Cricetulus griseus: one gene and its partner. The protein of the gene in region 1 purifies or fractionates together with the protein of each later gene. This does not show direct contact. Links are inferred from orthologs where the notes say so. Each region holds a gene or a part of one and is shown on either strand. Other genes may lie near its edges.

Region 1 (3,755 bases):
TCATGAATTCCCTTCAGAGGAGTAGGCCTCAAGACCTATCAAGGGAATGGTTGGTTACCCCCACAGACAATCTTTTATTACTATTACACCAATGAGCATGTCTTGCCTGGAGGATTGGTATTAAAACATGTAGGGGCCAGCACTCCATGAGATCATTGATATATTTTCTTCTCAGCAGCCTACCTAGCAAGCACCTTTCAGAAGTGTGAAAGCTGACCAACAGGGAGAGTTTCCTGGACAGTTTAATTTTTATATCTCTGGGTCCTGAAACAAGAGTGGTGTCTTCAGCAATAGGATCTTACCATCTAGTTGAGGTGGGCAGCCAAGAGCCATGGTAATAGCCTGTACTGTTCTTGGGCCTCTCTGAACAATAACTCATAGGGAGGTAACTCATAAAGTCCAATGACTACTATTCTTAAGACACAGACAAATGAAGAACCATACCAATGACAATGTCTAATGAAACCAAGACAAAGATATTACCATGTGATGTAGCAAGTACTCTAATGGGGGAAAAAGAGTCTTGAGTATGTGGGTGAAATATGAGCTGAGCTTAAATACAGATGTCAGGCAACCCATGTGAAGACCAGAATGAGGCAGGTATGGACATAAGGAAAGAGGGATATCATGTGTGACTATAGATGTGTTCCAAATTAGTGAAAGAAAGCCTCACTTGTCTTTGAGGGCTTGGAATACAGTTCAGTGCTAAAGTGCTTGCCTAGCATGAGTAAAGCCATAAGGTCAATAAAAAGGGGGGAGGAAGGAGTTGGGTTACTTTTATCCTGAGGGTTGGAATGCCAATGAAATGCTTTAAGCATTTATCACAGGAATATATGATTCATTTATCACAGGAATATCTTGATGACAGTCCTATGGGGAAGGATCCCATTTGAAGAACAGTTCTATAAGAAGTTAAGGCATTGTCAGACAGGAAGTGAGAGGGGCAGTGGGGGAGGGGAGTGGTAAATTCCAAAGATCTTTGGGAGGGGCTGGGCCAAGCTGATGGGAGGTGAGAATGTGAGTCAGAGAAAGGAGGCTAATGCAGATTGCCTATGTCACATGTCGTAAGAGAATGGTGACTGTTGGGACACTGAGAGAAAAACCTATCCAGACATGTTCACCTGATGAGAAAGTCAGGAATAAGAGCCTCAGCAGGGAAAGGGAGACATGAGGACCCATGAAGGACAAGAGGCTAACAGGGAACACGGTGAGCTGTGGGGGTGGAGAGGGGGCCAAACCAGACAGGGCCTCTAGGTGCATACTGCCAGGTATGGGAACTTGCTAACCAAATCAAAAGGGTGGAGCCAGCAGGAAGGGAAGGGAGCATTGTGGTGTTATTGAAAGCCATCCCTGTGACCACTGTGACCTTCAGGATCCCTTACCCCACTCAAAAAAAAAAAAAAAAAAAAAAAAAAAAAAAAACTGGTCAAAACAATTCATCAAGAATGAAGAAAAATTGTTTCGCTTCTTGAATCTTCTATTTTAAACATTTTATCTTTTGTATTTCCTCATATTTCCAACCAAATGCTATAGTTATAAAGCAGTGCATGCTTTGTTGTGAAAAGATAAATTCTAGATAAAACAAATTAAAGTTCAAGGGGGGGGATCATAAGTCAGATATTAATCCTCCCATGTAGCCCCCCTCTCATTCTCTTTCAGATTCATAGGTGTTCTTTTTTTCCATTGTTGCTACTTATCTATATTTCTAAATACATAAATACAATCTGCTCAGTCTGCATAATACTACTTATATGTATATATCTCAGGGTTGACCATTTGGTATTGGATAATCAATTTGTGTTTTCCCTGGGAAAGACTTTCTCCTGCTCTCAGCATTCCATAGTGACTTGTCGTTCTTTGTGTAGGGTGAGGTCTCATGAACTTTTTTCTGTCCATGTTGTTTTTTTCTTTAAAGATTTTATATATATATATATATATATATATATATATATATATATAATATATGTGTGTGTATTAATTTATATAATTAATATATATATAATTTCACCTACCTGTGTTAGGACACCATGTGCAGTACCCATAGAAGCCAGAAGAGGGCAACAAGAGCCTCTGGAATGGAGCAACCATAGGCAAATTATGAACTACAATGTAGGCACTGAGAACTAAACCCAGGTCCTCAGGAAGAATAACCAATGCTCTTAACCACTGAGCCCTCTCTCCACCCCCCTCCCGATCTCTCAGTTTTAAGTCTTGTTCTCTGATGCAAATGTATTTCCAAGATCTTTAAAAGCTTTAAACTCCAAAGCTGCCCAGAAAGTTTCCCAGCTTTCTGGAGAAGCAAAATAAAGAACAGATGATAAAAATAATGCTGAAGTTAGAAGAAAAGGCAGAAGATGTTAGAGGAGAGCTACTGGTTTTTTGTTTGGGGTTTTGTTTTCACACATTACATAGGAGCCAATCGTGCATGGTGTGAGTTATGATGTTTCTCTTTATGCAGAAGTTTTGAGGTAAGGAAGAGGAAATGACCACAAAAGTCAAAGAAAATCAGCAGAACCCATGTCTGCTCTCCACTTCCACATAACCCACTTTCATCTTCATTACCAGTGAGTCTGGGCATCTTATAGCCAAACACAGCAGAGAGTAAGCACAGTGGAGGAATATGTTTCTTTGACAAACTATGATCTGAACACACTTGGCTCACAAGCCAAGCACGTAGACGTCGTGAGCTTTCACTGAGACATTCATTTGAACATCATCTGCTACACATTAATCTTGGCGGTGGAAGGGTGTGGCTCGGGCTGCCATACACTCGTCTTTTCAGAGCATTAGAGGGGAACGCAGTGCTATCAAACTACACTCAGATCCCTGGGACAGAGGAACCCATTGATCTTGGGCCAGGTGATTGCATTCTCAAATACATCAGTAAAGGCTTTCAATGCACACACAGTGGAACTAGTGTGGTCACCAGCACCATATCACCACACTTGAAATATGACTCCCTTGGCCATTGGTTTCCAGGTTGGTTAACCTATTTCAAGACTCAGGATATCAACTAAATTTTTTAATTGAGTAGAAATGTTATCATTTCTAAAAATTAAACAGCAATAATTTGCATGAAATAGCAATAATAAGTTCTACTTCTAATGTGGAAACAGAGAAACAAGCATATGGACAGGTAACAGGAGTGAACAGTAATCACTTTCCTGGTCAGATGGAATGGGCACAAGTTAGAGGTGAAATTTAGCTGGGCAATAAAGAGGGATACTGATATCCTAAACAGGCATTTGATCCTGGGAGTGATAATGCTGGGAGTAAAAAGGTTCCCCCACTTCCACTACACACCCTCCCAACTTACTATCTCTTCTATACCAACTTGTGGTCTATAATACAGCAGCACAGGATCATCATGGCTCAAGTTTCCTACCCCAGAGATACAGACAGTCATCACTTGCTTAAAACCACTCCTGTGGGAGTGGGAACCCTGAACATTTAGTAACATGTTCAGAAGTACTTAGGTGTCACCTTGGATTGGGTGGCAGATGGGAGGTCTGATGTTGACTTGAGAAAACTTTGAGTGATTTTATTTTTATCTAATTGCTCACATTTCCCTGTGGCTTATCAAAGATTTCACTGGGAAGTAACCACAAAAATAATGAAAACCGTATATAGTATATCAGTATCTTTCTAAAATTATTTTGTGTATGGTGTGTGTTTGACATGTATGTATGTCACAGGTGAGCACATTCCCTGGCATGCGTGAGGACACCTCTGGTGTTGGGTGTCACCTTTCATCT
Region 2 (3,655 bases), on another chromosome or scaffold:
GTCTCACAGACCTTTGCTAGAACATGGACCAATAGCATCAATGTCCTGTAGGAACTTGCTAGAAATGCCATCTCAGGTGACACCCAGCCCTCCTGAATTAGATCCACTTGAACATGATTGCCAGGCATCTGTATGTACATTGAATGTTGAGAACATTCACAGTGGACACTCAGTGGCAGCATCATTAGAAAAGGAAAGCCTCTGGCCTCTCCTACTAACTCAGAAACTTGTGTTGTTTTTCTGAGGCATGATCTCATGTAGTCCAGGCTGGCTGCAAACTTGCTCTTTAGTTTAAGATGGTCTTAAACATTTTTGTCTTAGACTCTTAATCCACCTCCCATGGGTGGAGATTACAAGTTTGAGCCACCATATCTGGTTTCATACAGAATCTCTGGGGCTGGGTTTTTGTAATCTGTATTTTGAATATGCTTCCCTATTCACAGCCTGAGAACAGATTCATCTTTAAGATAACAAGGAAGCTAGGTGCTGCTCTGAGCTCTTTATCAAACCATCAGGGACATAGCTCTGGGTGGGAAGATGAGGGACTAAGGCTGGCCTGCAGCTATTATTGTTGTTGCTGCTGCTGCTGCTGCTGCTGCTGGTGGTGGTGGTGTGTGGGTGTGTGCACATGTGTTTGTGTGTGTGTGTGTGTGTGTGTGATTTCATGTAGTGTCTCATTCCAACAGCCCTTGGTACCTTGTAGACATTGAATTAAGTGTTAAATGAAGAAGCCATATACTTTTAGGAAACAGCCTTTGCTTAAAGGCGTTGAGACACATTACACTGTTACCATAAGGACATGTTAGTAGGCAGAGATCACAATTGTGTACAAACCTTGAGAGAAGTATGGTGGCAGGGAGGCACTCTGCTGGAAACCAATGTTACTGTAGAAACAGAAAAAGAACTTTACTGGTATCTCAAGATGGACGAAGTCTAATAGGCTTCAAAGCCAAAAGCAGGCAACAATAAAAATAAACCTTGTAAACTGAATTTAAAAGTTACTTTTAAAATGGGGCTGTGGTTTGGGGTCTTTGAGTCGATAGAAGGACCAAGGAAGGAAGACACACTCATCAGAGTGTGTGAACAGTAAATCCCCAGGAGTTGCTGGTCTACAGAGAGAGGGTGGGTCCAGGGGGAAGAAAGTGATGGGTGCTGCTGCATGCAGAGAGACATTCACAAGGCTGGGATGGAAGGAAATCTGCAGAGGCCCTGGAATGCTATCTGTTTTCTCTATGCTAAGCACCAACACCAGTCATTAGCCCAAATAGTGATGGTCTGCTCTGCACACCTGGTCTCCTCATTGGTAGTTTTCAAGAACAAAAGATGGGGCTAGAGCTGTGTGTGGGATAATGTGCACATGGACATGGCAATAAAGAAAGCCAGCTGGGGGAATGAATGGGAAGAATTGAAGGCAATAGGACCCTGGGGCAAAGGGAAGACTTCAAGAATTTCCCCAGAGAGTTGGCAGAGGTGGACTGGTTGTGCTGGTGGTTCCATTTTCCACAGCATGTAGTGAGAAGTTGGGCTTCTTTTGAATACTAAAGCATTGGTGGACCGGCAGGTCAGAGGCCCTGGGAAGCATAAGGCAGCCCATTGGCTTGCCTGCGCAGGGATGATCTGGGTCTTGCTTGGTTCTTCTGGCCATGCCTCTGTTTCTGGGTGGTCTTATTGTGACCGAAAAATTCTAGTTTTAGAGGAAAACAATGCTTTTGAGGACAGCTCCCAAGCCTGGGTGCTTGGCCTCTGTCAGATGCAAGACACATTCTCTATTTCCCTAGAGGGGGGAAGAGAGAATACAGGAACTTCAGTTAACTGGGTTCTTTCTTTCCTTCCTTCCTTCTTTCCTTCCTTCCTTCCTTCCTTCTTTCCTTCCTTCCTTCTTTCCTTCCTTCCTTCCTTCCTTTTTCTTCCTTTCTTCCTTTTTTCTTTTTCTTTCCTTTTTGAGACAGGGTTTCTCTGTGTAACAGCATTAGATGTCCTGGCACTAGCTCTGTAGAGCAGGCTGGCCTTGAACTCACAGGGATCTGCCTACCTCTGCCTCCTGAGTGCTGGGATTAAAGGTGTGTGCCACCACCATCCAGCTGTCAACTGGGTTTCTTAATGATGTTTGCTTGTTTGTTTGTTTGTTTGTTTGTTTGTTTGAAATAAGCAAGTGAAAACACCCACCATTTTTTGTCAATGTGTCCATGGGACAAATTGTGAACCAAGTCATTCCCCACTCCCCTCAAGCTCAGAAACTCAGAGAACAACTAGACTTGCAGGTTGTTCACCAAACTCATTTCACTTTAAAGGAAAGACAGTTTTTGCCCAATGGCTCATTTCTTTTTCCCTCAAGCCACCTGACATTTGCCACAACACTAAGCTGTACTGATTAGTTGCAAATGTTAACATGACACAGCCAAGGATCTCCTGGGTAGGCAGGCTCAACTGAGGAATTATCTAGATCACATTGGCCTGTGGGTGGATCTGTGGGGGATTGTGTTGATGGTTAGTTGGGGTAGGAGGATCCAGCCCACTGTAGGTATACCATTTCATGGGCTAGGACCTGAACTGCATACATGAAGAAGGCCAGGCAGCTAACAAAGTAAGCAAACAGGTAGCAGGGATCATTCATTTCTCTGTGCTCTGGCTTATGGATATGATGTGACTAGCTACTTGAGTTCCAACCTCGGCTTTCCTGAAATATTGGGCTAGAACCTTAGATTGTGAAAGAAACCCTTTATCTGCTATTTTTTTTGGTCAGGTATTTGTCACAACAACATAAATGAAGCTAGAACACAAGACTCCAGACATTATACTTCCTTAGAACTGAGTGGTCATCCCTGACCTTTCTGAGAAGATTCCTGGCATTTGAGACAACGGGAATGCGTGCTTGGGGCTGGGCTTGGCAGATCTTGAGGGGAAGGTGTTGGAGCTCATAGGAGGTAGTGATGGCTGGGGCAAAGTTCTCTGATGCACTGTGGGGGAAGAAGAAAAAAATGAGTAGTCAGAATCAAATCTGGGGATATTTGGAGTACCCCCAAGCTTAAACCAAACCCAAGCCCCAAACCAGTTGATATGGAGAGACAAAAATCTAAAAGATCAGATATAATTAGCAAATGGTAGGAATATAACCTACCTATTTTTTCCTAGATAGTTCACCACCTTGGGATGCACTTAAAATTGCTGTTGTTCTCTATAGTGAATTTTTAATTTTATTTTTTGCACTGTTTACTTGGAAGAAACTTGCTAGTGGGAAAGTTGTGAATTCAAATTTTTATTTTGTCTTCTGAAAGCTAAAACCACATGCTATTTTGTCCATCCACAGTTACTGATTCTGGACCCATGTATGTAAGAGGGTATAAATAATAGAAAATTTTTTACCAAGACATACATGCAATTTTCTGTGCAGTTAGGTGTTCTGAACACATGAACCTAAGTTTTCTTTGGTAAACCAACCAAGTAATTCCTTTTCACTACAGCCATGAGGTGTAGCAATTGGTATATGCCTGTTTATGTTAGTTTGACATGCAGTGTTCCATACTCAATACAGAATAGGTTGTAAAAAAACTCTAAACATACCATCATCTTCATCCTGTAAGGGAAAAATAATAAAAGATATTAACTTATTGTCAATGAAGCATCCATCAGCACTAACCCCTTCTTTTGTGAGCTG

The links.
Region 2: the proteins of Fyb1 (region 1) and Lcp2 purify together in Homo sapiens (co-immunoprecipitation; 6 studies listed by BioGRID and IntAct, with this or other methods). This does not show direct contact. The link is inferred for Cricetulus griseus from reciprocal best matches to the Homo sapiens genes FYB1 and LCP2.

Annotation. Positions count from the first base shown.
Region 1 is NC_048595.1:340,308,692-340,312,446, forward strand, and holds the start of Fyb1 (FYN-binding protein 1), read left to right. Parts: upstream 1-1,067; 5' UTR 1,068-1,177; coding exon 1,178-1,207; intron 1,208-3,755. UniProt on the Homo sapiens protein: Acts as an adapter protein of the FYN and LCP2 signaling cascades in T-cells. May play a role in linking T-cell signaling to remodeling of the actin cytoskeleton. Modulates the expression of IL2. Involved in platelet activation.
Region 2 is NC_048600.1:49,258,482-49,262,136, reverse strand, and holds part of Lcp2 (lymphocyte cytosolic protein 2), read right to left. Parts: intron 3,575-3,655; coding exon 3,562-3,574; intron 2,958-3,561; coding exon 2,828-2,957; intron 885-2,827; coding exon 835-884; intron 1-834. UniProt on the Homo sapiens protein: Adapter protein primarily involved in signaling pathways within T-cells, as well as other immune cells such as platelets, mast cells, and natural killer (NK) cells.